Drosophila melanogaster: one gene and its partners. The gene in region 1 interacts genetically with each later gene. Each region holds a gene or a part of one and is shown in the gene's direction. Other genes may lie near its edges. The genes, in order: Fbxl4, wake and Camta.

Region 1 (11,712 bases):
CAGAATAATAACTTCTGGCTGTGCTCATTTTATTTCCGTTTTATTATTAACGTCTTTCTTATTTGAATTCACTTGCATATTAGTGTGACCAATAAGAAATATGAAAAATATATTTAGCAAAAAACGCGATATCTTATATATATATATATCATTTATTTTTATAAAAAGGGAAACAAATAAGATATCGATATTTTTACATATATATTCCACATCTCTAGACAAATCCTACACAGAATTCCCAGGCCCGCGAGTTCTCGCTGCATCTGCATCCACCACAATCTGCACCAGCAATAAACCACCTAACACAAACGCAACGGCGTCGTCCCATCGCTGCGCCCGCCGTTTCCATCGTCGTCAGCAGTAGCAGCAGCAGCAGCAGCAGCAGCAGCAGGAGGAGGAGGAGGAGCAGGAGAGGCGGAGCCACTGTGGCACTATGGCCCTAACTAATCGGGATCGGGAACGGGGCTCTGGTCCATTGCCCAATCGCTGGCTATACTGTCCGCGCAAGAGCGATACCATCATTGCGGAACGCTTCCTGGCCTTTAAGACCCCGCTGAGCAATAACTTTCACGACAAGATGCCCATCGAGTGCACCTTTCAACCCGAGATGCTCTTCGAATACTGCAAAACGCTAAAGGTGAATGCAAACGCAACATCCCCCAATTTCCAACTCACTTATCCAATCCATCTTATGGTTTCAGGTGAAACTGGGCCTCTGGGTTGACCTGACCAATACGAAACGATTCTACGATCGATCCGCAGTGGAGGAGCTCGGCGCGAAATATATTAAGCTGCAGTGCCGTGGACATGGCGAGACGCCATCGCCGGAGCAGACGCACAGTTTCATCGAGATCGTGGACAACTTTATTAACGAACGTCCATTTGACGTTATAGCCGTGCACTGCACGCACGGTTTCAATCGCACTGGCTTCCTGATTGTCTGCTATTTGGTCGAGCGACTCGATTGCTCCGTTTCGGCAGCGCTCGCTATCTTTGCCAGCGCCCGGCCGCCGGGCATCTACAAGCAGGATTACATCAACGAGCTGTACAAACGCTACGAGGACACGAATGCCGCTCCAGCGGCACCAGAACAGCCCAATTGGTGCCTGGACTATGATGATGGCAACGGCGATGGTTTTGTGCAGGACAACTCCTCATCCACGTCACAGCAGGCCGGCGAGCAGGATGACGACGCCGAGGAGGTGGAGGGAGAGGATGCGGGCGGCGACTGTGACGCCTCCACGTCGGACGGTCAGCCGCGTAAGAAGCGACGGCGCGAAATGATCATCAAGAATGCCACCTTTATGGCGGGAGTGCCGGGCGTGCGACAGGTGAGCGATCAGCCGCGACTGGGCGATCTGCAGCGTAAGGTGCAGGACTGGTGCGACTGGAAGAAGAACGGCTTCCCTGGCGCACAGCCCGTCTCCATGGACAGGGAGAACATAAAGCGGCTAAGCGAGATACCGTATCGTGTGTCGTGGAAGGCGGACGGTACACGTTATATGATGCTCATCGATGGAAGGGACGAGGTATATTTCTTCGATCGCAATCACTCCTGTTTCCAGGTGGAGAATGTGACATTTGTGGAGAGCAGGAACCTAAACGAGCATCTCGACGGCACTCTCGTCGACGGGGTATGTGATTCTAGCTGGCACTCCTGATTGCAACTAAATTATCGTTCTATTTGTCCGTTTAGGAGATGGTGCTGGACAAGATCGGCGAGACCGTAACGCCGCGCTACCTCATCTACGACATTGTGCGATTATCGAATCGCGATGTGCGGGACGAGCCATTCTATCCAAATCGACTGGACTACATTAAGACGGAAGTTATAGGTGAGTAATTATTCGATGTTCGTTTATGAAGGACACATCCATATATCGCTGCAGGTCCCCGAATCCTGGGCATGAAGCATGGCATCATCAATCAGCGGCTGCAGGCGTTCAGTGTGCGCGGCAAGGACTTCTGGGACATTTGGATGTCTGCCCGGCTGCTGGGTGAGAAATTCTCGCGGACACTGGCACACGAACCGGATGGCCTCATCTTCCAGCCATCAAAGCAGCCCTACACGGCTGGCACATGCTCCGATGTCTTCAAATGGAAGCCACATGAGCTCAACTCGGTGGACTTTCGGCTGAAGATCATAACAGAGCGCGGCGAGGGGTGAGTTGTAGTGATCTATCCGTTCAACGGGCTCAATTCATACCATGCCATTCTCCGCCTCTGGCAGCTTGCTGACGAAAAAGGTGGGCTTCCTCTATGTCGGCGGACACGATGCACCCTATGGACGGATGCAAAGGTTAACGAAGGAGACCAGAGAATTGGACAACAGAATCGTTGAGTGCACCATGAATCAGTTTGGCAACTGGGACTTTATGCGCGAGCGAACGGACAAAAAGAATCCCAACAGTTATAATACAGCCCGCTGTGAGTAGTAATCTTCACCAGCAGTAGGAGGATCCCTATACTCATTCTCAACTCATCTTAATTTCAGCCGTTGTGGACAGCATAAAGCATCCAGTCACCAAGGAGTACCTACTAAACTTTATCGCAAGCTCTGGCTATCGGAATGATCATGTCATGATGCCGCCGCCGATCAATTCCCATAACCAAAACCACAACCATAACCACTTTTATCCCCATGGTCATGGCCAACACCAGCGTCGTCCCTGCGTGAACCCGACATTAGGAAATTAATCAGAGCGTAATAAAAAAAGAAAGAATAAAATTAATCGTGAGTTATGTACCGAAAAACTGTGTGAACTTGGGTTTTCTTGGATTAGCTGAACTACGAATTACTTAGTACTAGGAGCACTCCAACCAGCTGTACTCCTTATAAACTTAAAACAGCTCATATAATTTATTTATCTAAATACATACATATATTTAAAGCACTGCACACTTGCAGTTTTGTTTATTCAGATGCAAACTTTGTTAACCCAATGGAGGTAGTCCAGATACTGCTCCCAGCACCTAAGGCAGTTGCAACAGCCATTGCAATAATCAAAAAAAAAAAAAACAACTAAATAATGGTGTCCAAAACATAGCCAAAATGGATGACATTTACATAAAACAGGAGGAACTTTGCTGCTCAGTTGAGCAGGCTGCCATTGTCGCGCAGAACCTCCGCCTCCAGCTGGCCAAGATGGAGCAGGGCCACCAGAGCGGCGCCCTGCTCTGCCTGCTTCTTGTTCTTCTCCCAGAAGGAGCTACTAAAGCGCTGGCCATCGTACGTGCAGATGGAGCGAAACAATTTGTCACACTGCTGCGTTTCGTACGCTGGCGGGGATTTGCCAGTTTTGACAGCATGCACATATAGTTGCGTTTTCGGCAGATGATTATCTGTGGCATGAAAAATACCGAATGGGGATGATGGCTATCATGGCAAGAGATTGATCGAAACACTTACCACTGGGATAGGTGGAGCGCAGGAATGGCATGTGTCGGCAAATGATGCCGTCGTACTCGTCCGTTATGGCAATGGCCGCATCCTCCAGCTTCTGTCGCTTGGCCAGCGCCTCCGGTGGCTCCACCTCCGCCCGTCCCGAGTTGCCCATCGTCTTTAGCTCCCGCTGCTTGCGGCGGCAATAGTCGCCCAGCTCCCAGATCTCGCAGATCTGCTGCAGCGTCTGGCACTGAAGGAAACGCTTGCCACGCGGCGTCTCCTGCAGCTCCCTGAGTATGCTCTGCACACAGTACTTGGCGTTATGCGGCGCATTGTCGTAGTCGACGCACAGGCGCAGATACTTCTCGATTAGCTCGTCCATGGGCAGCAGGCCCTCCGGCCTGAAGATGCTAACATTGATCTGTGCCGCACGTGCGACCATCACGCTATCGGCGCCGCATTCCATTTGAAATTTGCGCAGATCATCGTAGCAGTGCATGTTTTTCGAACCACCGTTGGCGATAATCGGTATGTCAACCGCCTGGGCAACGGCACGCAGTACCTCGGGATGGGCAGGATGCTGCGGACGCTCGTCGCGCGTCCTCGCATGAATGCCAATGGCAGCGATGCCCGTGGCGGCCAGTTTCTGCACCAGATCGATTGTACCCTCCACGTCCGGCAGTATGCGTATTTTGCAGGTGACTGGAATGTCCAAGCCGGAGCACAGAGTGCGCAATATGTGTGCCGCCTTGTCGGGATCAGCGAGCAGGGCGGCGCCCATGCCGCCCTTGATGGAGAATTCCTTGGGACAGCCCATGTTTATGTCCAGACCGGAAATGTCGCGCTGCAGCAGCTTGCCCACGGCCAGAGCCCGTCCAGCGTCGCTGGTGCCCATTTGTAGTACCAGCCGTGAGGTTTCCTGGGCGCAGGTGCGGAACACAATCGTGCCATCCGACGGATCCACAAAGTCCACCGTGCCCAGAGCGGCTAAAAGGTATAATGCAAATAGATGAAGTATGCTGAGTTGGCTGGAGCTCTGTCCACTTACGGTTCGGCCTGCGTATGCTCTTGATCAGCTTGATGTCCACCAGCTCCTCGGTGTAAACGATGTCCGCACCCATTTCCAGGGCCAACAGTCGCATGGGCAGCGTGCCCACGCGCACCATTGGCGCCAGTATGAGCTTGTTGCGGTAGTCCAGCCTCTGGCGCGTCTTCATGCTGAAGGACTTCCTTAAAATCGTCGGCAGTCGCAACATGGATTGGAATCGCGGGAATCGAATTCAGCTGTTGCACGCCGTTCAATTTGGGGCCCTCTGCACGTCAGCGCATGGCGGACACTGCACGACACGTGGAGCCGTCATGCAAGGTACTATTTCTACGCCATATAAATATGATTGAATAATTATTGAAGAACTGCATATTCTATGCAGATATGATTTATTTGTGCTAGTGAATATTTTTGCATATTTTTGTTTGATTGTATTCCGCCTACTGAATATTGTTGATTATTATAATGTCTAAAAACAAAAATTTAAATCAGCTGCTTACAAGCTAAAATATAGGCATTGTTAATATTTATCCTGCATATATATACATACCTTTCCTTTGTTCTTATAGCAATTTCGCTTGGTGTGTTTTGGTATTTTCGAAAATATACTTCTGTATTCACGGTCTATTTTTCGATAGATTTTCTCGTTATCGATAGCAGTATTGTTTTTGTCATTTAAACCAAGCAAGCCAAAAGTTTTTTGTTTTTGTTTTGGCACAGAAATTTGCTGAATAACCGCGAATCCTCGAGAGAATTGCCACCCAAGCGCGACACACAGCACAAAGCAGCAGAGGTCAGAGGTCGGCGGACAGCGAACAGAGCAACAAGGCGAGGCGCGAATAAAGCTGCAAACCAAAGAGGACTCCGCAAGTGGCCATTAATTGGATTAGTTGCGCAGAAGAACTAGGAGAACATCGCTAGCCAGAGCCATTAAGGTCTGGCCCAGCAACGTGACCATAGCTAGGCGATCCACGTCGACGGCGCAGCCAAGCTCAATATCCGGATCATCTCGAGGAGCACAATTTGCCCGGACACAGCAGCGGCAATCCTTGGACAGCAGCGGCAGCGGCAGCAGCCAGGCGAGGACGAGCCGAGGAACCGGAGAAACAAGTGGCTCCCGCGACTCTGGCCCATCGGTTATGCCCAACGCGTGCCCTGGTACGCGGTTGGGGAACTGGGACTGGGGCGCAGCCTGCAGGCGGCGGTCGATACACTGAGGCTGACCTACGGCCAGCGCCCACGGCAGCTGGCGCTGGCCATGTCCCTGCTGGCCTACGGCGAACCAGCAGAGTCCAGCGAAACGGACAGCCCGGCGGCGGAGGCGGAGCCGGACGTACTGGTCGATTTTACGGCCATGCTGCAGCGGCAAAGGCAGAACGGCGATTACGGCGGTTGGTTCGGTTGCGACAGCAAAATGCAGACGACGCAATCCGATCAGGGCTACTATCTCGAGCAATATGTGCTGGGCGTGCTCGATTTCAGTTCACAGTATGGCATCGATTACAGCATCTCGTATACGGCGGCCAATGTGATTGGCAGGCCAACGAAATTTCCCGCCTATGGCGATTATCCGGAGACCTTTCCCATGGTGAGTCCATGCAGAAGCATCCGTACACGGTACCCATTCAACTCTCGCCCGCAGCGCACCTACGGCGACTGGTGGCAACGGGCACCGTCCGCCACGCGTGAGATTCAGCCCCAGAATCTGCCGAAGTTGGAAACACATGACTATGTTGGTAAGATGACTAGCTCAAGATAGCCGGATATCACATACCCTTGCACTTGCATCAGAATATCTAGCTCAATTTGCGCAAGGTTGTGATTGCTATAGAATTTCATCATCATAACATTTATTATCGATTTGCAGTTGTTTATTTCGAGGAGTTTGTAGTGCCCACCGAAGTGGCCATCTTTGAGACCTTCAATCCGGGCGCCGTTGTACGCATTTGGGCGTACGGCCTGACCAAAAACTGGACCTGCCTGTGGGAGGCAACGGAAAGCGATCTCTCCCGACCGCCGCCACTGGACTCGCGTCGCTTTGCGCCGTCACTGAAGAAGACCACGATGCTAACGAAGTAAGTAGTGGACAATGGTGGTATCATAACACTGGAATATATAGCACGCACTCTCTTCTTGGCAGAACGCTGCGCATCGATTTCAATCACAGCCGACTCAATTACTATACGGAAATCGATGCCATTATGCTGTGCGGTCGAACGGTCACCAAAACGCAAAACCTACTGGCCAAGCAGCAAATTACGCAGCACAGCCGGACGCTAGTGTCGCCGCCACCGGATGCTATTGGCTCAACGTCCGGCGACGGCAGTGGCGGATCAATTAGCCACAAGCTGCGCACCCTTAAGTTCCAGCCGAATTGCGGCGAAGACGGTGCCACCAAGCTGCACGAGTTCATCAACAACGATCTTAGTCAGTTTCTGGCGGACAATTGTGTGGATGGCGAGGCGGCGGCGCCACAAATCTGTCTAACGGATCTGCCATTCGAGATCCTATTGCGCATACTCAGCTACCTGGACCTGAAGTCGCTGTTCCGCGTGGGTCACGTGTCGCGCACCTTCTACGACATCTCCAGGCATCCGCTGCTCTATGCCGAGATCAGCCTGAAGCCCTACTGGGATGTGGCCAGCTCGGAGCTGTTGTGCACGTTGGCGCGTCGGGCCACCATGTTGCGCAAGTTGGATTTGTCCTGGTGCGGCGGCTTTGGCAATGTCTCGCCCACCGAGTTCAAGAAGTGGTTACATGCTAGCAAATCATACTGAGCTACTAGAACTAAAATTCGAACACTCGTTTCAGATTCCTGACCCAACGCGGCGATAATCTAACCCACCTGCGTCTGAACTCCTGCAAGTTTCTCAATGCCAGCTGCATTGAGAATGTGGGCATTGTCTGTGATAATCTGATAGGTGGGTTTTTCTCGCATCCTTATCGAAGGTTTAACTTAATATTTCGTCGCAGAGTTGAGCCTGCGCAACTGTGCCACTGAACCGCCGCTGTTGAACTTCTCCTGTCTGGCCAATCTCAAGAATCTGGAGCGTCTCGATCTCTTTCAAACGTACTTCGAAACGGAACTGCTGCTCAGCATGCTCGAGGGCAATCGCAAGCTAAAGCATCTGAATCTGGGTGAGCTTCTAGATAGCTTCAGTTTTGTTGCGTTTAACCAATTGCATTTGATGCCCATTGCTCAAGCATTTTGTGGTGTCTCGGTGAACATGGACAATGTGGCCGCCCATTTGGCCACGTACAATACGCAGCTGATCTCGCTGGATTTGTGGAAGGCGCACTTTCTGTCGTCCAGAGGATTGCAATCGCTGGCGCGTCTCCATCAGCTGGAGGAACTGGATCTGGGCTGGTGGTAGGTGTCATGCGCGATGGAATTGCATAATCCTTAAGTTAAACATGTTCTGTTCTTTTAGCATGAGGGAGGCATCGCTCGGAGATGGCCTGTTCCAGCTGCTGTCCAACTGTCCCAAGCTAAAGAAGCTCTTCTTGTCGGCGGTGCGCGGCACCACCGAACGCGATCTCATGCATATTGCCGCGCTGGGCAAGAATCTGGAGCAGCTTGACCTCATGGGCATTCTGAACATAACGCATGAGCGTGTTTATGAGTACGTCTCTCTTCCTTTTTAATCACTTTAAGATCATTAAGCATTCAATTCGATTCGATTTCAGCATTCTGGTCAACTGTCCCAAGCTGCAGTTGCTGGACTTGAGTTTCTGTGACAACATCATGGATCGGGATGTGAGTAGATGTTCGATGGAATTGCACCTTCTATTCCTTAGCTAATTCCATTTGTTACTCAGTTCGATTTGCTGGCGGAATGGTCGCGACAATTTAAAGTGGACATCAAGAGCAGTCGACGTCACTGAACCGGAAACGGAAATGGCGTAATTGAAACCGGAAATGGGACAATCCAGTCCTTGTAGCTACACTAATTATGCCTAGTACAATGCTAAGTGTACTTTTAGATCCCACATATTTGTATGTGACATTCTCCCTCTTCATTTATAGTAAAATGTTATATATATATATGCTGTTATGAATATGAAACATTTGATATTAAGCTGGGCGATTTTTTAATCACTTGAACTAATGCTAAGAATTAGAGAATTATAATACAAAAGTTGCGTATAAATGCACTTGTTTATTGATGAAAATTGGTTTGTTTTAATCTATATGGATATTTATTAATTTCATTTGCTTGCATTAACATTTTAAGCAAGAATTACAATTTCTTATTTTGATTATAAGTATACATCGATACTATCGGTAAATTCTGCCAACAGTGTGACCACACTCTTGCATTGCTCAGCGCTAATTTTCCAATTAGAATAATTTTTGTTATAAAGATGCCATCAAATATGAAATAAATAAATATATATATATTTAAATGAAATATTATATAGGTTGCATTACTAAATTTGCATTTCATCGTAACATTGGAAATCAAGAACTTCCATTCGATACTCACGACCGATTTTGCCACCTCCAGCTGTCATCTCCAACTTATTTTCCAATCAGAAACAGTAGCGCAGTGCGCTTATCAAAATTAGCTGTTAAATTCAATTAGTTGCTTGTATTAATTGCAATCGTGGGCAAGGGGATTCACTCGGAGCGACGGATGACCCAGCTCCTGGCCAGGAGTAGCCCGATTGTGAGTGCCAGCGGAGTGCGGGGCGTTTGGCAGCCAGCTGTGCAGCAGCAGCAGCAACAACAACAATAACAACAAAGTAACGAGGTCGCAGGACCAAAAAAAATAAAGGTGGAGAAGGAGGAGAGGGGGAGGAGCAGAAGGTATGTATGTGTGTGTGTGTGTGTGTACCCAGTTAGGGAGCCGCCTCCTCCACCGGCCACGCCCCCTAGCAGCACGTACACATCGTGTAATTGCCGTGAATTATTGATGTGGCCCGAGCATTCGACGCTTTGCGGGCGTGCCCGTCCATCTATGGAGTTGCTAAACGAGTGGTCCGGCCACCAATTGTGTGGCATTTGTGTATATCCATTAGATCCAGCGATAAGCAGCCATGCGCTTTAACAAGCCGGAACTGAACTCCCTGGCCAGCAATCCAGCAACGCGATTCGACAAGGAGGGCCTGCTCATCATCACCGATCGCCAGGAGGGCTTCCTGTGGCGCTCTAGCGAAGGTATTGATTGCACCACTACCATCTGATCACTCGCATCCATGCACATGCATTAGCAAACACACACACAACCGAACAAAACCAACCACCCACCCACCCACACACAACATCCAATCCTGTCCAGGCACTTGGCTTATGCACCTAATTCTACCGCCCACAGTCAGAGTTGAACGTTGGTGTAAACTGCGTGGAAATTTACTGTTCTACCTCAAGGATAAGGACCCCAAGTCAGCGGTGGCCGGCCTCCTGGTGCTGGAGAACTGTCGTGCGCGCATTCAGAATGAGGAGCGTGATTCCGAGGGCTACGTATTCGATTTAGGTAGGCAACAATGCACAATGATGCTATGCTATGATTACTACTACTAAATGCCTATGTGTTGCAGACTTCAAGGACAGCCCATCGGAACGTTTCATTACACGTTCGTCGGCCGAACGCCTGGCCTGGGTGCAGTGCATCGAGCACGCATCCAGCGAGAAGCTAAACGCGCTCATACGCCAGCTAAAGGAACAGATTGTTAGCCAGAGCCGCCAGCCCAGCAGCGGGGCGTCATCCTCCATGGGCAATCACATTGACCTCGGCATGCCGCTGGAGCAGCAAATGCAGGAGCAGCTACAGCTGCACGGCCAGCCGGCGGAGGAGTTGTCCGTGCCCGTGCCCACGGAGGTGGTGGCGCCGTTTGAAGGTGATCTTATACAGTTCTAACCCAAAAAACCAAATAAGAAAATCCAAAATGAAACGCAAACAATCGGAAAACGCGCGGCGGTCGTTGTTGTTTTTTTAGTTTTGTTAACCAAATATTTGGCCATGTCACTGTTCCACCCACTGCACCACATACCTCTCGCTCACTTCCATGCAACCACATCCGGTTTGAGTTCATTCGATTCCAACGCGTCCAACCAAAGACGTTTCAATCGCAAACATTCGGCTATCGAACTAATATTTCATTTTTCGTTTGTTGCATCGGTTGCATCCAATCGAAATCGATTGAACGCACTAAACCCATGATTTCCATTACTCCATTTTCGAATTTATATGTTGTAAACTTATGTGTAATCCCATCGGGAGCTGGTGTTGCATTGCGTTCCATGTGATTATGAATTTATTCTTGGAATAAACTTTGTTTTGCTAATGAATTTAAACGAAATTAACCAGTTGTTTGTTATTCAATCCCCTCCTGCTTTAGCTGTGCCACCTGCCGTTCTGTAACCATTGCATTCCCCCGCCTGCAATCTGACCTGGTCTGCTCTTACTTACAGAACTCGATCTCTCGGAGCTGCCCATTTGCGAGACGGCGCTCTCCTGTGATACCCTGCCCCTGGACACGCTGGGGCGACCGCCCAATCCGCAGGTGGTGTGCTCGCTGCTGCCGACAGCTGGAGAGGATTGCGTGTGGCGGGAGCACGCGCGCACCGAGCTGCAGGAGCGCACACGTACACCCCAGTTCCTGTGCACGATGCGCTTTCAGCGCAGCGCCGGATTGTCGGCCAGCACACGGCTGCGTTTCAGCGTCTTCGATGTCCGCGAACGGATGACGCTCACCGCCGTGCCGCTGGGCCATGCCGAGGTGGCCCTGGGCGTCATTCAGGACACCAGCCGGCTGCGCCTGCCACTGACATCGCCGCGCGGCGAGTGCGGCTTCATTACGCTGGCCTCCTGGTCACCCGACGCTGCCGTGGAGCCCGGCCAGTCGGGAAATGGTCCGCCGCGTTCCAGCACCCAGCTGTTCGATGGATCGGCTGGCGCCGGTGGAGCCACAACGAGCAGCAGACGAGGTGAGATTTGGGGCACTTATAGACCTTGTGCATAGCAGGGTTCCATTGAAATAGGTGCTTAGGATTCGGGTTTCTTGGAGTATCACTTCGAAAACGACAAGGAAAAGTATACAAAGTGGCACTTTGCGATCGTATTTAGGTTTTCCAGTTTCCAGATAAAGCATTCATTGGTTTTGGCTCGATAAAAGTTCCTAAAACTTAATGTATCTTGTATCTGTAAGCTTCAAAATCTCTCTTTCATTTAAATTGTATCTTGTATCTGTAGAGCTTGAAAATATGTACTGTGTATCTGAGAAGTACTGATAGATATTTCATCAAATATTTCATGACCAAAGTATTTGGCGTTAC
Region 2 (10,388 bases), on another chromosome or scaffold:
TTTTTTTTTCTGAACTTTTTGAGAAGGGTGTATCATCGATCAAGTGGGCAGCGATAAGTGTGAGATATATCCACAAATCACATATTGTCAGCTTACCTCGATCTCCTTCTCCTCGGAGTACAGGCCACAAACGAGTTCTCGAAATGACATTTTTGCATCGAGCTGATCACTTTTGTTGTTTGCCTGTGCAAAACAATTGCACTTGCAATTTTTTTGTTTGTGTTTTTGTTCTTGCTTTATCGTAATGACAATTTATTTATATTTATTTCAGTCACAACTGCTGACGAAGCTCCTTGAACTGGCGTTGAACTTTTTATGGAGCAACTTTTTCACAGACGGTTATATTATTTATATTTTCATTTTAATATGCCCACATCGTGTACTATGTATTTAGTATAAAACAAATACACGAGGGAACAGCAACTGCACAGCGAGACGAAAGTGAAACCGCCGCAAACGGACGACCGAATCGCACAAAAATCGTACAAAAAAATCGCGTGTTGTCAAATCGAAAATCAAACTAAATTACGAGTACCCGATGTGAATTCTGTGGAGGATTGGGATGTGGGGGCCGATCGGAGGAGCGAAAAGGTCAGTCGACATCGACGCCATTAATTGCTTTAGATTGAATTAAGCTCGAGGCAGAGGAATCGACGGCGGAGGCAGCCGCTCGTGATGGAGCTCCACTGGTGATCGGCTTCAGTCGTGACCTACGCCCATGACGTCATTCGGCTCGGAGCACTTTATTTTTAGCCAGCGACTTCCGCCCTTATCAACCATGACGCGTTCGAATCCCCAAACCGTGATAATACCGATCGGAGCTGCAGTGTAACGGCCTGGACGTAAATAGTAACTAAAATCCGGCGATGTCCGTACCCGAATCGTAGATAACGGAACCGTGGCCACCTATTGCCAAAGCCCAACTGTGACTACCAAAACTCCGGGTAAGCGGACAAAGGAATGCCGATATATGGCCCACCAGACCACTAGAGAGAGAGAAAGAGCCCCTTATCTGTGGGCCCAGAGAGCAGGAGGAGCAGTGTGGGGCGATAAGCTCCGAGAACGCAGGTAACTTGGAGCGGCGTCCAGGTAAACAGATTTCTGCCCGCGCACAGGAGCGGTTCACATAAGCCGAGGGTTGTATGGGTTAGATTTGATATAAAATGCACTTATGATTATATTATAGGTATTCCCAATCATTTCAAAAACTTATGATACATGTAGGATAAACAAAAGGATATGCTCCACTTACCCCCAAATCAGGTTCACTGTTCGTAGCTTCTAAAAGGCAGTGGGAGGACGAGGAAGCGGACATGCTGGTCCGATCCTTGTGCGATTTGTGCAGATTCTGCAGGCTGGCCCACGTGTCCATGGTCTGATCCATACATGCACCACTGACCGACGACTGCACACTGTCGATGGCTTCGAAGCCCAGCGAATGACGCGAGCCAGGTTGACCAAATACCTGGGCACTCAGCTTGTGTGGCGTTGTTGGCGTCTCCAGAGCCAACGATCTGCGCATCTTGCGGGGCACACACGCTGGATGGGCAAACGTGTGGCCCTCATCGAGCGATGGAGCAGCCGAGTGCAGCGAAATGTCATCCATAGAGGCCACGGCAGCCAAAGTGCGCGGTGAATCGTCGACAAAAAGATTAAGGACATCATCACAGGAGCGGGTGGATGTGAGATTCGTGGCGGGACTTTGGATCAGATTGAAGCTGGCCAGGAGATTGGGTCGACGAAGCGAAGAGCTCGCTGGCGGCGATCTTAGCAGGGCGGAATGATCGGGCATGGCCCGCACAGTCAGTCGATTATCCGGTATTCCCACTATGCCCAGTGGACGAGCAGGAGCTGGATAAGTTGGTGGTCCTGCATGTGCCGCCGCCGCTGCTCCCGCTCCTGCAGCTAGGAAGTCCACAACCAGAATGCGATCCGAAATATTCGTACAATCGTTGTTGAAGCCAATGCCCGAATCCGAATTGGACGTGGTGGTGGAGATCTCGCTGTGGTTCGATGGCTGCGGCGAGTGGGCAGCTGCTACTGCTCCTCCAGCTGCGGCGGCTCCTGCACCCGCCTCATAGTCTGCCTGATGACTCCGACTTGCCGGTGGGAGAATCCGCATGGTATACATGCTGCGCACGAGATTCACCACATATTCCGAGTTGTTAGGGAACTCGAGACACAAATTCGAGATCGGATCCCGGGTGCACTGCAGGCGGAACTCGTGGGCCCGCTGCAAATGCTGTGCATGTTCGATCAGCTTGGTGTCGATGACGAAGACATGGCAGCTGTGCGAGATACTGATGTGACCAGCAGCTGCTGCGCTGCCAGCGCTCGGCTCGTACTCCTCCTCGATCTGTGTGTTGTGCACGGCGCTAGTGACCAGACCAAAGAATCGATTCTCGCTCTCCGACGAAGAGCTCACGAAGTTCAGCCTGGCCGAGGAGTAGGTGGCCAGCACTCCGCCGCTGGAACTCTGCAGGCTCAAGCTGTCCGGCGTGATGCACATCAGCACAATGGTGGGCTGTCGCTTCTCCTGTCTCAGTTTTCGAATGCAAGATCGAACTGTCTGCAGCTTGGAACTATGCGAGATCTGCTTGGGCATCTCGATGGTTCCCAGATAGCCAACAATAACACGGCACTCCAGTGCAGCACTGCCCACAGCTCGCACCATGGCACTTACATTGGCCACATCCGCTGCTTTGGATAGATTGGCTGTCAGAGGCGGATCCTCCAGAACGGGTTTTAATGTAGGGTGATCGGGTGATGACTTTGATTTGTGCGGTTCCACTGCCTCTGGTGGGTTTAGCTTCTTTTGTGGCGAGTTGCGCAATCTGTGCAGTTTGGCTTTGTGGTGTAGAAACCTGGGCTTGTGCCTCAAACTGGCTGCCAACAATTGACCCCTCAGCGTGGCATGGGCGTTCTCCTCATCCGAGCTGTCGGAATAATAATTCTCGGCGATCTGCATGCGAATACTGCCAAAGGAGTTGCCAATGAGCTGCACCACTGTTTCGTGTGGCAACTTGGAGACATTTAGACCGTTGACCGATATGAGGAAGTCACCGGAACGCAGGCCAGCTTGCTCGGCAGGTGAGCTGCTGATGATGCAAGACAGCCGACATGGTTGCTGCCCGGAAATGGTGAAACCGAAGCCATTGTAACCACGTCGCACTTCCACGGTGCGGATGCCATTGTAGTTGTAGTTGGCTCGCTTCTTGCGACGTCGCTGATGCTGCTGGCTGTTGGATCCCGAAGGCGTGGTTGAGGTGCTTATGGGGGCGGGCCCACTATTCGCAGCAGGTGATGCATCCTCCGCTGCAGCTGCTCCCGTTCCCACGGCTGTGGAGCCACTTGCTCCGGTTATGGGCAAAGGCGGATGATGGTGGTGCATGGCGCTTACTGTGTGGAGAAAACGAATGATGAGGAGTACTGGCCAATCTTAACCCACATCTGGACATTTGTACGCACCTTTCTCATGGATGGAAGCTGCAACCTGGATTTCTGGAAATGGAATGCGGTTTCTGTTGCGCCCCTTTTTGGATGATGCCCCCTCTCGCTCGCACCCGTGCGTCGCCTATGCCAACTATGTAATCAATGGCACACACACATGCGCACCAATGGCCAGGCGTATTTTGTTACACTTTTCTAGGCCTCTAATTAATTGATAACTAACTCTTCTTTGGGTGCTACCTCATATTCACGCGGTTAATAACATCGTTGTAACTTTATCAGGCATATTTGTAGCAATTAATTGTGTGTAAATCGGTAATTAAAATTATGTCTACAATGCGCAAGCGTAACTATGATTAGAGATGGAACACACTAAAATGTTTACTCGATACTATCGATATTACATACCTTTTGTGAAACATCGATCACTTTGACACACCATATTTTTAGTAATTACTGTTAAAGTTTTGCAGAATGTCAACAATTTTTAACAAGCAGTTCTAGAGAAAATTTGATTTGTTCAAATATTGAAGGCATTGACCATTGATAGAAAAACGATATTTACAAATTTGAATTAGATAAAAACAGGGCTGCCAGACTCATTGAAATTTATGAAGCAATCGTTGCCACACTGGGCTGACCTTCGTTGCATAGCAACGAACTTTTGTCACATCCCACTGCCGTCAGTTACTTTTCGATTTAAATAAAAGCTCCGAACGCTCGTCCTTTAAAGTCCTTCCGGTGAGCTTACATCTGCGTAGCGTGTTATTTGTGTTTGGCCCACGCCGTTTCAGTTACATTGGGACTTTCAAACGCATTGGTTGAACGCGCGCACCCAGAACCGCTGTTGAATTAGTTTTTGAACCCGAAAACAGCAGTTAAATTGCTCGAGTGAAATGTAAAATGTTATTGGTAAACGGATCGAAGTGTTCGAAGTTCTAACGCTGAAATGTTTAAGGATTATCCGTAGCAAGACCTGCAGAAGTGACCCCAGTCAGCCAGTGTTGAACCAATTGAAATGTTGGCAAGGACATTACGGACAAAGAATAGAAAGCCAATAGAAAGCAATGGGGGTGGGATGTTGCGGAAACGGAAGTGCCAAATTGAAATGCCATTTAAGCCAGGCGAGCGATTTGCCCGTCTTCGTTTACGGCTCATCCGGATTCGTCTGCGTCTGGTCAGGGCACTCAGATTTCTTGCGGGGAATGGATTCGAGAGCGCGGCAAGTGCGATCCCCAGACGACACTTGGCGTCGCTCTTGACATTGATTATATTCATGAGACCAAGTCATAAATTCCAGCCCGACTGTTTACGAGGATTCTAACACCAATCCGCTGTCCCCGATTCCCGGTCTCTGCCCAAAGATGTGGCCAAGTTGCGACTGGAGTGCCAATAAAATCATTAACTGTTGCAGCGCATTAAATTCATGGCCCAGACGATGCTGCCGCGCTATTCAGGCAGCAAACATTGTCATAAAACCTCGGCCCATTCACGCCATATTTCATTTCATCTCCTCATCTCCATCTACCTCACATCCATCTACCTCACATCCTAATTGCCGAAGGTCCTGAGTCCCGTGGGCGTGTGAAAAACTATTAAAAGGCCGTTGGGCCGTGCATCGTGGGCCCATAATTAATGGCGACAATGACTTGATCGGCCGATAATTAATTTATCGTCATTTATATTGCCAAACTGACTCGACGCGCACATACTATATATGTGCTATATACATGGTTACCAAAACGGTTGGCGATCCCATGGGAGCTCGTAAATTGTCCAGAAGTCTAGTTCCTACTTCACTTTAATTTCTTGGCTAGCGAAAGTTTTCTTTTCAACTAAGCCCAAGTAAGTTTCAGTTGGTTCTATTGTATTATTTTGGCACATGCTTCATTCCTGCTCGCCTCTCACATAGTTTTGGCCACAAATTAGTTTGGCAGTGGATTTTGTTAGCCACTAGGAGATGCCGAGCATTTTGCATTCCCATACCAACCGACTTTTCGCCTGTTTTGTCCAACTATTTTGCTGCTGAAAGTTGGCAGGAAAAGTTTCTCAATTGCGACGAAGAAATCAATTGGAAATGATTGAAACCTAATTTCCCAAATGGACTGAATACATAAATCAATAAATTATGTCCCCTCGAAGATGGGAATCGACGGAAGCACCTCAGTCATTACCGAAAGTTTAATGTATTTAAGGGTTAATAATATCGATCGAACTGATTTTTGATTGATGAATGTCCTGTGAATTTATTAATGTCACCATTGTTTGCTAAGTGTTTTGTTATTTGATTATAATTGGGGCTCATGAAAGCATTTCATTGGATCGTATATTAAAGAATATTATTAATATACAGTAATAAAATGGAAAACTTTGATTGAATTTTTTCCATATATGTACAAAAGTGTCAAAGTTCACTGCTCGCATTCATGTTTGTGTGTGCTCAAATGGTAAATCTGACCAATGTCATCAATATTTCAACAAAAAAGTAAATATTTTCGCTTCACTGAATCGCAGTGAACCGTAAAGAGCAGTAAAACTATGCTGATAGCAAGCTTTGTGTCTATGACATCCAGCTGCACCTGATGAAAATCCGCCATTCTATCCGCTTAGGGATTTAATTCGTAAACGTCTCACTGGAAAATTAATAGGAAAATACGCAATTTTCACTGGAATGCCAACTTTCACCCCTGACATCTTAGAATATACTCTTTTTTTTTTTTGTGGCATTATCATACCCACACTTTTTGTGGGTCCTAAGTCGCCGTCCTTGTCGCGATTTCGGAAATTGTTTTTACCCACATTTCATTTGTTTCCCAAACTTTCTGCATTGCGCGAGCGCCAAAAAAGCAAAAAATTGACACAATTTAAACTTTTCTATAAACAAAAGCAATGCAGGGCAGCCAAACAGAAAAGGTTAGCCAAACGAGCCATTTGTTCGCGCTGCTGTTTACTTCCTTTTTGCCCCAAATTTTTCCCCTTTTTAGCTGTCGTGGTTATTTTTTCGTATACTCCAGTTTATTACAGAACTCACAGAAATTAATGCTGCTGGGGTTTCTGGAGGGGTTTTTTTTTTTTTTTTGGCTTTTGTTCAAATTTGTCAAAAGGAAAAGGCTGACCGAAAACGTTTGCTTCGTCCTTTATTTTTCCGCTTTTGGTTTCTCAATTTCGTTTAAATTGCGCACATTTGAAACAATTTGCCAACAGCAAGCGCCCACACATGCATTTTTTTTTTTTAACAGCAGAATGCATTCTGCGGCTTGGCAGAGATTTATGCAGGCATTTCATAAAGCTGACAACATGGCGTATGATTAATATCGCTGCCTGTTCCCTGAATTGCTATTATGCTGCATTTAATTAAATCTGCAAGCGATGATTAAGTGCTTAATTTTACAGGCAAGAACCAAGTACTTACAAATACTTACCTATACATATATATACATATATATATATATAACATTGCTATTTCTGGGCGCCCGGCTTCTTGACAACTAAGATTAATTGGTATTGCCACTAAAAATATAAACAAGGAGTTCTGATATTATACCAAGTGCCGGACAAGGACGTTGTTGTATATACTATATGTGGCATGCTCTCAATAAATTTAAGCATTTCATGACAATGACGTTGCAGGCGATGCGTTCCGAGAATTCCGACTATACGTGTGCATATTGCATATGGCTGTGTTTGGCCTGGCTGACATTTCTTGGCCTTTTTTGCCCTGGCATATGTGCGAAAATGCCAACGTTCATTGCAATGCAATTAATGAAGATTGCTGCAGCTGACGCGCACTTTGCATGAATACAATGTGATGTATGTAAAAATGCCTTTGGCTTATTTTTGGCAATCTAATTTGCAATTTCAGTTTCATTTAGCAGTCAGACTAAATTCTAGCAAAATGATGTTCAAAGAATTGTGTTCTAAATTGTAGAATATTGCCTATATTTTCGTAACCAACCAATTTTTGGTTAACAACAAAAATGAAAACAATGTAAGCTTCTAAAAATATTATTTATTTAGTCACTATATTTGCTTTTTATTGCTTTTTATTGCTTTTCTCTTAGCATTTCATAACGACCGGCCTTCGTTTTAATTGATACAAACGCTTTATTTACATTCCCTGCTTTTTTTTTTTGCTTGCTCTTCATTTCACTTTCAATTTATATTCATAGGCCAATGCTGGGTTCTTTTATTTATTTCTGGTTTTTATGCAATATGAATTGCGTACGGCAATTAGAATGACATTTTGCTGTGCCTTTGTTTTGTTGCGGTTCGCTTTTAATTACACGCTCTCTCTCTCGTTGATACTTTTAATTAAGGCTGCTAATTAAAGATGACAGCTAAGTGAAAAGGTAGTGAAATTCTCGCAATTTCCGGCTTAGATATTAGCAATTTCAAGCAGCGCGGAATCGAAGGTGGCACATTTCGCTGGACCTTTATCCCCCGCCAAACCATTAGTATGATATCCTTGGGGCTTATCGCAGTTCTTATTACCAATTCGGTTGCTCTGTCTGCTCCACTTTTGTGCTTGATTAATGCCCGGGATGTGCATTGGATTGCGCCCGGGATCTGCGGCGCGGCGGTAAGACAATGGCAGGAAAAGCTGGTAACGTTGCCCATTGATTTGTGCCACCTGGCTGGGGAAATGGCCTCGGTTGCCCAGCGGAGACGCATCGTAAATCATCAATGTGAAACTTGTGCTGGCAGCACTTGCTTTTGCAATCGGCCTTACGCTGAAATCCGAAATTTTCCTACGAATTTTCTACGATTTTTACCCTGGCCCAATCCGGCTACAGTGCCTGTAGCGATTTAATGGCTCTCATTTTTGTTTTGGCAGCACAAAGTTTTCGCTTCGATTCGACGCGATTCGTTATTGGTAACAATTGGAAAGTTGGCTGACTTTATAGGCAAATTTTTCCAATTCAATGCCAAAAGGTGCTCGAGGGCAAATCGTAAAAAGTTTGTTCGGCTTCTTCATCCGCATTTTTATACTTTTACTTCTTCATCATCATCATCAGCAGCAGCAGCAGCATTATTATTATTCTTATTATTCTTATTATTATTATTATTCTGCTGCTTTTCATACACGTACAACAACGGAAACATTCATTCACGCGAACTAATGAAGTGTCAAAAATGGGCGCCCCGAAAAGTGTGCTACGCTTTTTTCGTTTTAAAAATATTTCGCAGTCTTGTGGGGCGGGCGAGCTAGTGTGTGTGTGTTTTGGGGGGGGGGGGTGGTGTGTCCTGTGACCTTGGACTGTAACTATGAGCGAGTGCCGACTAAAATAGCTCTATAATGCCGAGGCGGGCGGTCCGTTCATAAGTGTGTGTGTGTGTGTTTGTCTGCAAATGTTTGCAGTTGAAGGCAAAACGCGAGCAAACAAAAAGCGATTCTAATATGGATGGTACTTAAGTTCCGTCCATTTGTATCCCATATATGTGTATAAATAAACAAACCAAACTAACGTAACCCAATCGCCGTTGTGCCAGCAAATCAATTTGTTTTGATCTCGCTTGGCTGCAGCTAAATTACAATTACACTCGGCTGCCTTATTTTTAGTTGCACTACCAAATGGCAGGAAAGTTGAACTTAACTGCAGAGTCCTTGTGGCTCAAATTGAACGTAATTGTCTTTCGCTTGCCAATATACCCAGCTCTCTGGTTTCCTTTGATGTCCTCAGCTCGAATAAGTTTCATTCGCCTTGCTTTATTTGGGTTTGCGGTTGATTTGTATATCTATTTGGATATACGAACTTGTTTTTTTTTTGGCTGTGCAGAGAGAGAAATAGTTGTGTATCTAAAAAAAATTAAATAAATATATAAAATTTAGTTGTTATATATATATATTTTATAGTCAAAAAAGGCAAAAAACACTAGGTACCCAAGAAATAAGTTCTTTTCCAGACTTGTATCTTTCTAGACACTCTTTTTTTTTGAGTGCACACGTAGTGTCCTGGCATCGATTTGGTTGAGTAAGCGGCGGTGGATTGGCTCGTAGGGAAATTACATTTGTAGATCGTTTAGGCTCGACACAACCGCCCTTCCCACGCATCGCAGACTTCGCACATGGCCCTGTCAATATTTGGCTAACTTGAACACCAAACCGCTGGGCGTTTTGGGAATCCCCCTGCCAGAAGGAAGACAAAAATCTGTACGTCTGTCATTTTTTTTGTTGGGGGGGGATGCTGGTACTTACGGCTTTAATGTGGCCCAAAAACCGATGCTTGCTCGGGATTTGTTTACTGAAGCGCGAATCTGTTTTATTTTTTGCTGTCGTGGGACTTGTTTTTTTTTTGTTTTTTTTTGCCCCTGCCCCATCCGTTTTATCTATCTCACGTGTTCGTAGGATATTTGCCTTTGAGGGGATTTCCCAATCATTTTTTTTTTTTTGCCTTTCTACCCAGGAAAAGGACTAGTTGCCGTGCTGCGTTCGCCAATTTGCGTTTGTGCAAAAGCTCAAGCCGACAATGCCAATCATCACGCATACGCCGTGTGGCCATTTCATACCGCTCCCAGAATAACGAGCTATTGCCGCCCAGTTGATCCGTGGCCATATTGTTATTCGGTATTTAGCATAAATGCCCATTTGGTTGATTTTCACTCGGGGTGTGTAAATTTAATTACAAAATGCAATTTATTTCGGGTAGCCCAGTCAAGTCGACTGCCAATCAGTTTTTTTTATTGAAAATTGCACTACTTCAAAACGGGCAGAGTGCTTAAACACGCACAGTATCTTGCTTGCTATCTAATTTAACAATTATGCTAACGCAGGCCAAAATGGAAATTTCGTGTTTGTGTTTGCCTTTGCCAATTCTCTATTGGCAGTGAAGCGCCTCGCTTGAAGGGCTAAACTAAAGCATTAATTGTGTTTATCTCAAATTCCATTTGCAAATTGCCTTTTGCGGCTGTTTCAATTAGTCTGTCAATTAACACTTTTG
Region 3 (10,466 bases), on another chromosome or scaffold:
CGCGACGGGAGACAGCAGCGAATAGCACAACAAAAAAGCTGGGCTCCAACTTTTTCAAGTCGATTCGTTTTAATTCACTCGAGAGAGCCGGAGATAGAGAGCGCGAGCTCCGACGTGAGAGATAAACAATTGTAGAGATTAGAGCTGGAGAGCAATGATGATTTGTAATTTTAATTTTTCAAGTGCCATTAAAATTAAACAAAGGCTTTGTTTCTGGCTCTTTCCCTCATCTTCTCTAGCCGTTTCGATCTCGCAGTTTCATTTTCCTCCCACTCAGCGCTCACAGCCTTTGCTCTCCCTTTCTCTCTTGACCTGCCTTTGGCTAATGACTTTGCAGAAAATAACGTTTAAAGCGCGACTTTGGATGTGTTTAATCGCTCACTTACTTTTGCCAAACTATTTACGCCTGTTTTCACTCGATATGGTCGTCTTGTTCGTTGATCAAAATAATTAGTGCAGTTTGTAGTATTACTTCTTATTTTCCAACTGCACGCGAGACGAAAACAAAATCACAACAACAACAAGAGTGCCGGGATGCTAGCGGGTTTTTTATTTTTTCGCGCTCTCTCTCTTTTTCTCTGCTTTCAAGCTGAACTGCGCAAATTTACACGATAACACAGCAGCAACAACAACCACAACGACAACAACAACGACCAGCGACAACAACAACAACAGTGTGCTCTGTGGAATATCCTCTGCACCTTCACGGTCCGCTACTTCGATTTACCGATCACGCGCCCATCAACAAACTGACTGGCTTGGCAGCGATTGCCATTGCGACCAAAACACGGCTCTCCAAGCTGCGCAGTCGGCGTCGGCTCTCTCTCCGGCTTGGATGCACTTCCAGAGAGAGCAGAGGCTTCAGATGTAAAACTAGTTCTTGGACAGGAAGGTCGGCCAGGGGAAGCTGGTAGACGCCCTACACCAGATGAGTCATCTGTCGAAACATTCTAAGTGGCACCATTATCAGAACAAGTTGACAAGACAAAAGATAACATAAACATTAATACATTTAAAAATGGAACAAATATTTTATAAGTTATTGTTAAATACAGACGGACACATTTTCCTCGTTTGTAACAAATTATTAAACGCTATACTAAAAATTTATTTTAAGTTCATTTAAAAATAATATAAAAATTGAACTATTCATTTTAATGCTTGTTGATTTAAAAAAAAAACCGAATATTACCGAAAATTAAAGGATTTATTTTTTAGCTAATATGAGGGCATATGCACTTGAAGTCGTTGTGCCCCAGCAAAATGACCTACGAGTTTTGTGTAGGTGAGAACGTGATCGGCTGTAGTTTTCTCTTTTGCGGTTGGAGCCTCACTGCCACACAAACATATGTCTGCTTAGTAATGCCCGCATGTGTGTGTGTGGGTATTTCTGCTGGTTTACCTGTTGCTTTTCAATTGTTTTACATTTTGCCAGAAAAATGATTTTCCACAAATGCCAGAACATACGGCACTGTCTCGAGATTCCACCGAAATGGTTTTGGCCAATTAAAATTACTGCAACAGGTGGGGGAAGTGCGCTCACACACATGTAACCTGCTTATAGCTATATGTATGCTTGTAATCTCGACCTGACGTAAAAACAAAGACACAGCATTGCCGTTGTTTTTGTTATTAGCCGCACAAGACGAAGAAGCAGAAGCAGCTTAGAGAAAAATTTATTTATTTTCGTAATACGTAATTTCTGGGGCTGTTTGGCCGCTTCAAATACAAATTGCAATAAAACTGGTTCCCCAAGTCGACCATATAATAATGTACCAGGATTTGATTATTGTTGTCGTTATTCGGTGTCCAATTGTTGCTTTCGATGCTGCAGTGGTGTTGTTATTGTTTGGTGGCATGCCTTGCATTTTTCTAGTACACATTTTCCTTTTCCATTTTGCCACATTTTAACTGCAGTCCCTTCCCCTTTAACCGCCCCTCTCTCTTCACTAACCAAAATAAAACCGGCTTGACATAAAGGAGTGTGCGTGATGAGGGTATGTGTGTGTGTGGGGCCACTGCAATTGTAGTTTCAGTTTGGATGCAGGCACTGTGGAATGCAAAAGCCGTTTAGCAAAATAAATTGGCGTGAAAGCCTGAAAACCACAAATAGCTTATGGTACTTAATATTTAATAGCTGTTCGGTTTCTAGGTAAACGATATTAAAGGCTGTAAATGAGGTTGAAACCCTTAAACGGGAATAAACAGCTTTTTAAAGATCAAGTAAGTTTCTGTACGGAAAACTTTACTAATAAGATCATTTCAGGCATTCCTCCTGGCCCAGGGAATTTTAACTTTGTTTGGCCCACAGTACTCTCCTTGTCGTTTCGCTGCATCTGGGCATACGTACAATTTTCCCACACCCGCTCTCTGTCACCGCGATCTCTCTCTCTTTATCTCTTCGCCGGACTTTTAAGCTCCTGTTTCGGCTTTTCTCTCCGCTTAATATTGGCCATTTACAGTTAGAGGCCGCTAGCTGCGCCGCCGACAGCAGATATTGCAGCTATTATTTTCTCTCCCGCTGTAATTTTATTACCAGTTTCCTTTCCGCCGGCCAAAAGGAAGACTCCGAACGGCTTTTCATTGAGAGATTTTCCGTGGAGCAACAGGGTGACCTATGCAACAAAGGGCAACGCTATTTTTGGGCTTTTCAAACTGCAACCTTGCTAGTTAAACCGCTTCCACTCATTAAAACTACATTGAATGTATTCATAAGCTTGCAACAAACTAATGAAGTCATATGTGGATTTTTAAAAGGTTTGTTTAACGACATTGTGTTTCTTGGAAGAAATGTCTACGAGACTTGGCTTTATACATAAGTACATAGATATTTTTCGTACTACGGAGAACCTAGAAGGGCTCAGCGAAACTGGCACCAACAACATGGTTCAATGTGCACTTATTGAGGGGGCGTTCGATCTGCCCCCCATTTGCAAGTAATAATGGCTTTTAAAAACTCGCTATTGCATTTTGATCGGGGTCTCTTTTGAATTGTTATCGTCGCCAAGGGGCGTTGACTGCGTATGCTCGTTGGGCGCGCTGAGGGGAGTCCTGAGGGGGCGTGACTTCGAATGCTTGTTTCGTCGCACATGACGTTATCTTGGCGTCGTTTTCATCATCAAAGCAATAGAGTTCAAAGGCCCAATTAGCCAAATAAAATGCATGAAACCAGAAAATACGTTTCTCACTCATTGTTTTATAAGGCGAAATGTCATTAAATGGTATTGTAAATATTTGTGCGCTGCAATAAAATGGCAGCCGAAGCCAGTTATTCTTGTTGCTTTGCAGCTCGTAGGAACGTGCTGGTATTTTTCAAGCGCAATCGCTCGCTCAGTTTTTCGGGCTTTTCAGCTTTTTCAGAGCCTGGGTGCGGAGCCGGTGTCATCAGCATAATTTACGTGCCGATGCCCGCCCCGCCGAGAGTCACGTTTCCACCTCACGCTCCTTATCACATGTCGACGAGCACGGGGAACACTGTAGGAAATCAAAAGTGGGGAGTACTGTCAAAGTGCCACAAAATGCATATACATATGTAAATAAGAAACTCAAAGCTGCAAATCAAACAAGCAACGCGATTCGGATTAATTCCAATGCCTAAATTATAGCCAGCAATGTAATGTAGCAATATTGAGAGAATATCATATTATCCTAACTATAGATATAAACATAAAATTCTAATTTCAGCTTTATTATGCTTCCCATAAGTAAACATTGACCTTCTTAATATACAATAACTGTCAAATTATCATTACAAGATAATTCAGAAGACAAATATTTTGTTTTCTGGGATCGCGGATTATCAAGTTGGCGGGTTCATTTAGCGCGTGTTGCCTGTGCTTCCAAATGAGCAGCGCTTATCTCGTTTACCTCTTGATCATCGCTTATCAGCGGGGCCCTGAACGCCCCCATAAAGGCACGACACACACACATACATACACAAGTGGCACGCACACGGACATGCACACATTTCGAGTAATTCAATTATTTTGTGTATTATTTTCAATGTGCAACAAAAGCGACAATAAAATAACAAGCCAGCGGCAATATACAGCCAGCAGCCGACTTATCACCGCGCCGTCGCTGTTGTTGCAATGCTTGTTGCTGCTGATGTTGTCGTCGATTTCAAACTGCTGGCACTGACTGGCACTGGCACACAGCTATGGCAATTATTCTGTGTTCGCTTCAGTCGCCCCGCCCGTTGATTTTGATAGAGCCAGAGCCCCGAGACTTCCGCTGGTCGCGGGAAGCGGAGGGAAGCGAGGCGGGGTCGGAAAACCGCGGGGTCGGCTGCTGGAAAAATCCAAGGAAAGTTCGGCGAAAGTCGTTGCCTATCAATGATGGGCGGTCTCAAGGGCTGTACATACATACAAACATACATATATTTTGATAGCTTACAATATACAAATGTACATATGCGAATTACACAAAATGTCATTTACATTTTACGCCCATTTTACTTCCCATTTGCATGCTCCTCTTAAAGGATTTTGACATATAACTTTATGATTGAACTAAGCTAAGAACTAGAATGGTATGTAATATTTTCCTTGGGTTCTAACAAAAGTCGCAGGAATAGAACTTCCTGCTCACGTCCAAGCAAACCAATCTCAGCGTTTTTAAGACAAATATGCATTATAAATTCATCAATCCTTCATTATTTATTTATTTAAGATAATATAACCGAGGCCATCGACTATGTACCTATATACTAATATACATCATTTGATTGAACTAAGATTAAAATTTTCGTAGACTGAAAGGGTATACTAGATTCGTTGAAATGTACATATACATATGTAAGTTAAAGAAGGGTGGAACCGTCAGCTGGACGTCGGCGGTAAACAGCGGACACGGCGGGATACATCGGAGTTTAAAATTCAACAGAAAGAAAATAATTATAAAACGTATAAAAAATGACTAACAAAACCCGGATTTGAAATTCAATACGATATTTTAAATATAGTGCCCGATTTCCGATAATTGAATGTTGGAGTTGTCATCTTGACCGATAAGCCGATAAGTGGAACACTTGGGGTGCTGCCAGATGGTTAGATATAGTTTAAACTAATTTATATCAAACATAGACTTGTAAGGTTAAGATTACAAGGTTATTGGCTTGTAAAGTATTCTTGCTTTCTTGTATAATAAGTTATCAATTTTAAAAAATTCGAAATCATTGTCGTTAAGTTTTGTGGGAGCTCGCCCTTTGCAACATCTGGCAACTTTGCCGTCATATGTTTGACAGTTTGACATGCACACAGTTTTGGAGTAGCTCAAAATATTTTCGCTATCGTTTTTTTTTAATAATTTCGTGTGTGAAACGGTGATATTATTGATTTTTGTTGCATTTTATGCATCGTCCAGCTGAAGCACATCGAAATCCGCCAAGGGACTCCACGGCTTGCGCACAGGGAGGCAGTGAAAAAGTTTTGTTTACCTTTTTTCGATATCCCAGAGTTCTGCGATTTCGGTGTCGCTGTGTGCGTGTGCGAGCGCCCATGTCACCTGTGTGTGTGTGCGTGCGAGCTGGTGTGCAAAAATGAAAATGCATTCTCAATAAAGCGAAATAAATGTGCCAACCGCTAAGAGAGTAGTGCATTCTAAAATTGGTTGTTAAAGCTGTGCACATGGAAAATGTGCCCGATATTTCCACCAGCGCTTCGTCCTCTTCTACTTCTAATTCAACTTCCACACTGAAACTCCAAAGTAAGTTAGCCCCAACTCCCCCTACCCCTATCACCCATCCCTCTTCTACATGCATATATGTAAGTTATATCTGTGCTGTAGCCCACGTATCTCCCGATTTTCGACCTGATAGTCGTGCTCTCCTCGATATTGGTTTTCCAATTAGTTTTTGTTTTGTTGTGTTTCGCTTTGCGTTGCGTTTTGTTTTCACGTTGTTGGGGGTTTCTTTGGGCCATTAACCCATTGGTGGCCGCTGTGCCATATTACGCCTTTCCTGTCAATACTGAAATCTCTTTAGTATTACGCCCATCTACGGTATTGCAAAGCTGGTTTAAAGATGGGAGAGTCTAATTGGAAATTCCTATGGACGCAATCAGCTGTTATCTGGATTCTTTAAACATAAATATGGCAACTCTGCTCGTAAAAACCGATTGGCGGGCTTCGAATTTTAGAAGTGTTAATAACACACTCTTAGTTGGTCATAAATTCATGAGTATAGATAAGATAAATGGAAACATTTCTTTTCCAAACACAAAACTAGTGACCTAAATGTTTATAAACAATGATTGTTTAAAAGATTGGAAAGTGGTCACAAAAAAATCCAAGACGTTCACCACTTTATTTAAATAATAAATATTTATGTCTAGACCCAGAGTAATAATCAGTTGCAGACTGATAAAGCCTATCAAAGTTCTTGTTCTTGTGGTTTGTTCATCTTTGATTTGTCCTCTTTCTTAACCCTTTGTCGGCTATCTATGTGCAGAATCTATTGACATATTTATCGAACTCTTTCCCCAGCTGGCAAATCTAACGCTTTTTGATTTATGCTTCTAATAAAAATTCAATAGACTTGCAATTTGTCCAGCTACCCAGAAACTTTTGTTTCCCCCCCAGTTTCCCAGCTAAGCAAGTGGAGTAAAGCACGTGGAGTACAACAGTGGGATTATATAGCACGATTTTTTTTTTTCAAAATCCTGTAATCAAACAAAATTTAAAGAAAAGAATTAAAAACAAAAAATATTTCAATTAAATTGATATTTCCTATTATAGGAATATTTGGTTTTAACAGCATTTATACATGAGAAAAACCCTTAAAAATAAATACGAATTAAAAGCAAATTAATTTTAAAATAATTACAACAAAATCATTTTCCATTCAAAATTCCGTTTTTATCTTCTGGTTTTCATTATTATATATATGTTGTATATTTTTTTTTTTACTTAAACTAACAATTGTCGTGCCCACTGTCCACATCGTTGCACATCAAAAGCCGCGACGAACGCAAAAATATGCGAAGCTTCAGCCAAGAGTGTTTTATGTGTTACGCGGCTGCCTGATCCCCGAGTGCCCCGAATCCTGGGATCTGCGTGCTGTTGTGGCTGGTCTGCCATACATTACAATGAAGTATGTGCGCTCGAATGGATGGCCAGCCAACAGCCAGTGGCCCCACCTATTCTATTCCGATCCTGGTCCAATTCAGGCGGTTTATTTTGCCTGGCGGCAGGCGACCTTTTTGCACAGACACTCCAAGGAAGGCGAAGGGGGCGCAGACACTTGTCCACTTGGGGTCAGATGGTCGCATGTGGCGCTTTCCCCTGCCCGCTTTTCTGCTTTTCCGCTTTTCCCCAAAGCACAGCCGACTGAAGGCGGCGTCAACGGCTAATTATGACCCGCACGTTTTTGCGAAAACAAACACACATGGTTTTTGGGGGTGTGGAAATACCCAGGAAAGGGTGCTGGATGCCGGCGGCGGGGGGAGGCGGGAAAAGCAGGGGAGCCGGACAAGTGTTTAGGCTACATTTCGAAATGTTTCCGGCGCGCACTTTACGTTCCGTGTCGCCTTCAGCCTTGAGAGTCTATATTTGGCAACGCATGCCAGGGCAGAGACCCCCATTTGCCTACACCCGTGAACCTACCCCATTACTTTCTCCTCCTTTCTTGGCTGAAAACTCGCTGTTTGTTTGTTGCACTTTTATTGCGTTTTGTGCTGGGGCTCGTCGGCTAAGTAGTCCTTCGTCCCTGCCATAAACATGTCGTCTTTCGCTTGATTTAGCGTTTGGCTACCGCCCATCCTCCCCATTTGTTGGCCAACAAAATAGAGTGTCCGAGCCACTGACCGCTCTAGGCATACGTCGCGTATACGTAATGCTCGACGTCCCTTTCAGTTCATTTTTACGGACCCTGGGAAAGTGCAACAATGGCAGCCACGCCTCCTGCCTCCCCTGTCACATGCGCTTCTAATGCAAGGCTTTCCAAATTCGATCAAGATGGAGTCATAAATCTTGCGCCGCTTATGAAGTTTCCATTGAATTTGCATACAATGGGGCTGTCCGTTTTTTGGGGCCACTCGAAATTGCTCAATTCGAGAAATCGAGAACAAAATGTTACAGGAGCACTTACACCAAAAATGAAACCAACACGCTGTTTAGATAACTTACAAATAAATAAATAAGATCTACTCTTTTTATACATCCAGACGTTCTAGGATGTACATTTTTAATTTTGTTGTTTTACCTGGATAAATACCTTTTATATATTGTATGTACATTGAATTGATTATTTAAGACTGATTTACTTTTGTTATTCCTTTCTAGGCCAAATCACCTCCAAAAATGTCTTGATCCGATCGCAGAGCAGTGGCAAGCTAAGCAGCAATGAAGCGAAATCAGCAAAGCCAGCAGCAACAACCAGTACAACGACGACTCTGCGAGCGGCCAAGCTCAAGATCGGGGCCATGCAACAGCAGAAGCAGCAACACCAGCAGCAGCATCAGGCCACGAGTGGCGGCAACATCATCCTGCTGCGCGGCACACGCAACGAAAATGGCCAGATCATCATCCAGAACAAGCAGGACATTCTTAGCCTGCTCAGCGAACAACAACAGCAGCAGCAGCAGGAGAAAAGTCACTCCTCCACGGCCATTACGCTCAACCAGCTGCCCACGGCCACAACGGTGGCTAGAAAGACCATTGTGCAGGGCTCGAGTGGAGCCGGCAGCAGCAGCAGCAGCAGCAGCTCCACCATTTCCATTGTGGCCAACAGCAACAACAAGGAGGCCAGTAGCAACACGATCCTTCTGCAAACCCCCATCAATGCCAGTCAGTTGGAGAGCGTTCTAAAGGCCCAAGAGCGTTCCAAGCAGGCCAACGCCACGCAAACCAAGATGGTGGAGAGACCCTTTATGCTAAAACATGTAAGAGATGTGCAGTGACATTTGTGTTGTATTTTACCAACTTGTTCCATCACTTTTACAGGCCACACGCAGCTTGAGTTCCGAGAGCAACTGCGACAGCAAGTCACCCTTTGTGCTGCAAACGCTGAAGCGTCTGGAGAAGTCTCAATCCATACTGGTCATACGCAACTCCACGGCGTCGACCGCTGCAACCAACACTTCCATGGCCACTTCGCCACCAAATGGCAACAGTCTTGCCACCTCAAGTATTCTAAGCGTGACGCGCACCACGAAGGCGGCCAAAGGCGTGGCAGGAGCGCTGCACAAGCTCAAGGCGGCAGCAGCCACAACAGCCACTAGCGGGGGAGCCTCATCAGCCGGAGCAACATCATCTACGGCCACCACCATACTAAGGCTGGGAAAAAGCGCCACCACGGTGGCCATTAATGGAGCAAGCAAGCTGGAGGCAACGACGAGCACAACCACAGCGGTGCCAGTTCCGGCCACAGCGACAACATCAAATAAATTGTCCAACGCGGTGACAAGCGAGCAGCAGCAGCAGCAACAGCAACAATCGACAACAACGCAAACGAATGTGCCACTTGGGAACGGTAAGTCTCGAGGATTTGGTATCACCGAATTTCAAATGCGGCGCATAAATTGCTGGCGGGGTTTTCGGCAGGTGTTGCAGCTGCAGCTGCATTTGCATCGGGACCGAAAAACAAAGCCTGACGCAGTCTCCTGGCTGAAGATTTCCCGGGCTTTTGTGCCCCATCTTTGTTGCCTATTTTGGGGCGCTCTCTCTCTCTCTCTGGACGACTGGCTTCTATTTCTGTTTAGTTACGGAATTTTCGCTGATTTACCAGGAATTCGGCGAACGTGGCCTGCCTCACAATTATTCAATTAAATCGAGGAACGTCTTGACCGCCCCCTTAGGGGCTTCAGCTGCACTCAGCTGTGAATCCCATTGATTTTAACACTTGAATCAGCCTGCTGCTCCCTGGTGACCGGTGCTCTGCTCTTGGCCAGTGGAAAACAAACAGCCAACAAGACACCCCTTATTGTGTTTGTTGTGTGTGTGCCGTCTTCATTAGTGCTGTGTGCGCTGAGTAACAAGTTACGAGTTATCAGAAAGTTTCGGCAAGTGGAGCCCGGCTCAATGATTTCTTGAGGAACACAGCAAAAATGAAATGAAAACAAATCAATTCTTTTGGGCGTAAAGTTTTCAAGACTTTCAACGATGCCAATTTGAACCAATTGAAAGATGCAACTTGGGAAATTCGATATATACAATTGCTAAGTAAAAGCCTAATTCGAGTTATTTAAATGATTTATGATTGGAATGTGATTAATACTTAGCACTTTATATAAGTATGCCTAATCAAAGCTTATGAACTTAAAGATTTATTCTATTATCCTCTATTTCGAGTAGCATTTCAGCCATTTCAACTGGTTCAACTACTTTGAGCACCCTGCCCATGCATTTTGGCAGAGCTTAATAAATTTTCAGCAAATGCCTTGGAGATCGAAGGGCGCAGATTAGCCACGTTTGGCGAGCAACGCCCTGGAAGGGAAACGGGCAATGTCAAAGTGCTGAGGTCCACAGAA

What was found.
Region 2: of Fbxl4 (region 1) and wake, changing one suppresses a phenotype caused by changing the other (phenotypic suppression), as found in Drosophila melanogaster (one study listed by BioGRID).
Region 3: of Fbxl4 (region 1) and Camta, changing one suppresses a phenotype caused by changing the other (phenotypic suppression), as found in Drosophila melanogaster (one study listed by BioGRID).

The regions. Positions count from the first base shown.
Region 1 is NC_004354.4:14,231,303-14,243,014, reverse strand, and holds Fbxl4 (F box and leucine-rich-repeat gene 4), read left to right. Parts: upstream 1-5,091; 5' UTR 5,092-5,691; coding exon 5,692-6,021; intron 6,022-6,075; coding exon 6,076-6,169; intron 6,170-6,300; coding exon 6,301-6,508; intron 6,509-6,573; coding exon 6,574-7,182; intron 7,183-7,244; coding exon 7,245-7,354; intron 7,355-7,406; coding exon 7,407-7,571; intron 7,572-7,637; coding exon 7,638-7,803; intron 7,804-7,864; coding exon 7,865-8,056; intron 8,057-8,120; coding exon 8,121-8,190; intron 8,191-8,252; coding exon 8,253-8,318; 3' UTR 8,319-8,602; downstream 8,603-11,712. Other genes in the region: mRNA-cap (mRNA-capping-enzyme), read left to right, coding at 434-637, 702-1,634, 1,697-1,835, 1,890-2,163, 2,231-2,427, 2,495-2,697; Dus2 (dihydrouridine synthase 2), read right to left, coding at 3,092-3,342, 3,410-4,372, 4,434-4,641; CG42271 (uncharacterized protein), read left to right, coding at 9,474-9,594, 9,752-9,910, 9,975-10,274, 10,849-11,364.
Region 2 is NT_033777.3:22,635,549-22,645,936, forward strand, and holds the start of wake (wide awake), read left to right. Parts: upstream 1-4,259; 5' UTR 4,260-4,362; intron 4,363-10,388. Other genes in the region: loco (locomotion defects), read right to left, coding at 1,253-3,391.
Region 3 is NT_033778.4:9,440,806-9,451,271, forward strand, and holds the start of Camta (Calmodulin-binding transcription activator), read left to right. Parts: upstream 1-5,240; 5' UTR 5,241-5,627; coding exon 5,628-5,706; intron 5,707-8,280; coding exon 8,281-8,879; intron 8,880-8,940; coding exon 8,941-9,469; intron 9,470-10,466. Other genes in the region: ced-6, read right to left, coding at 3,868-3,878.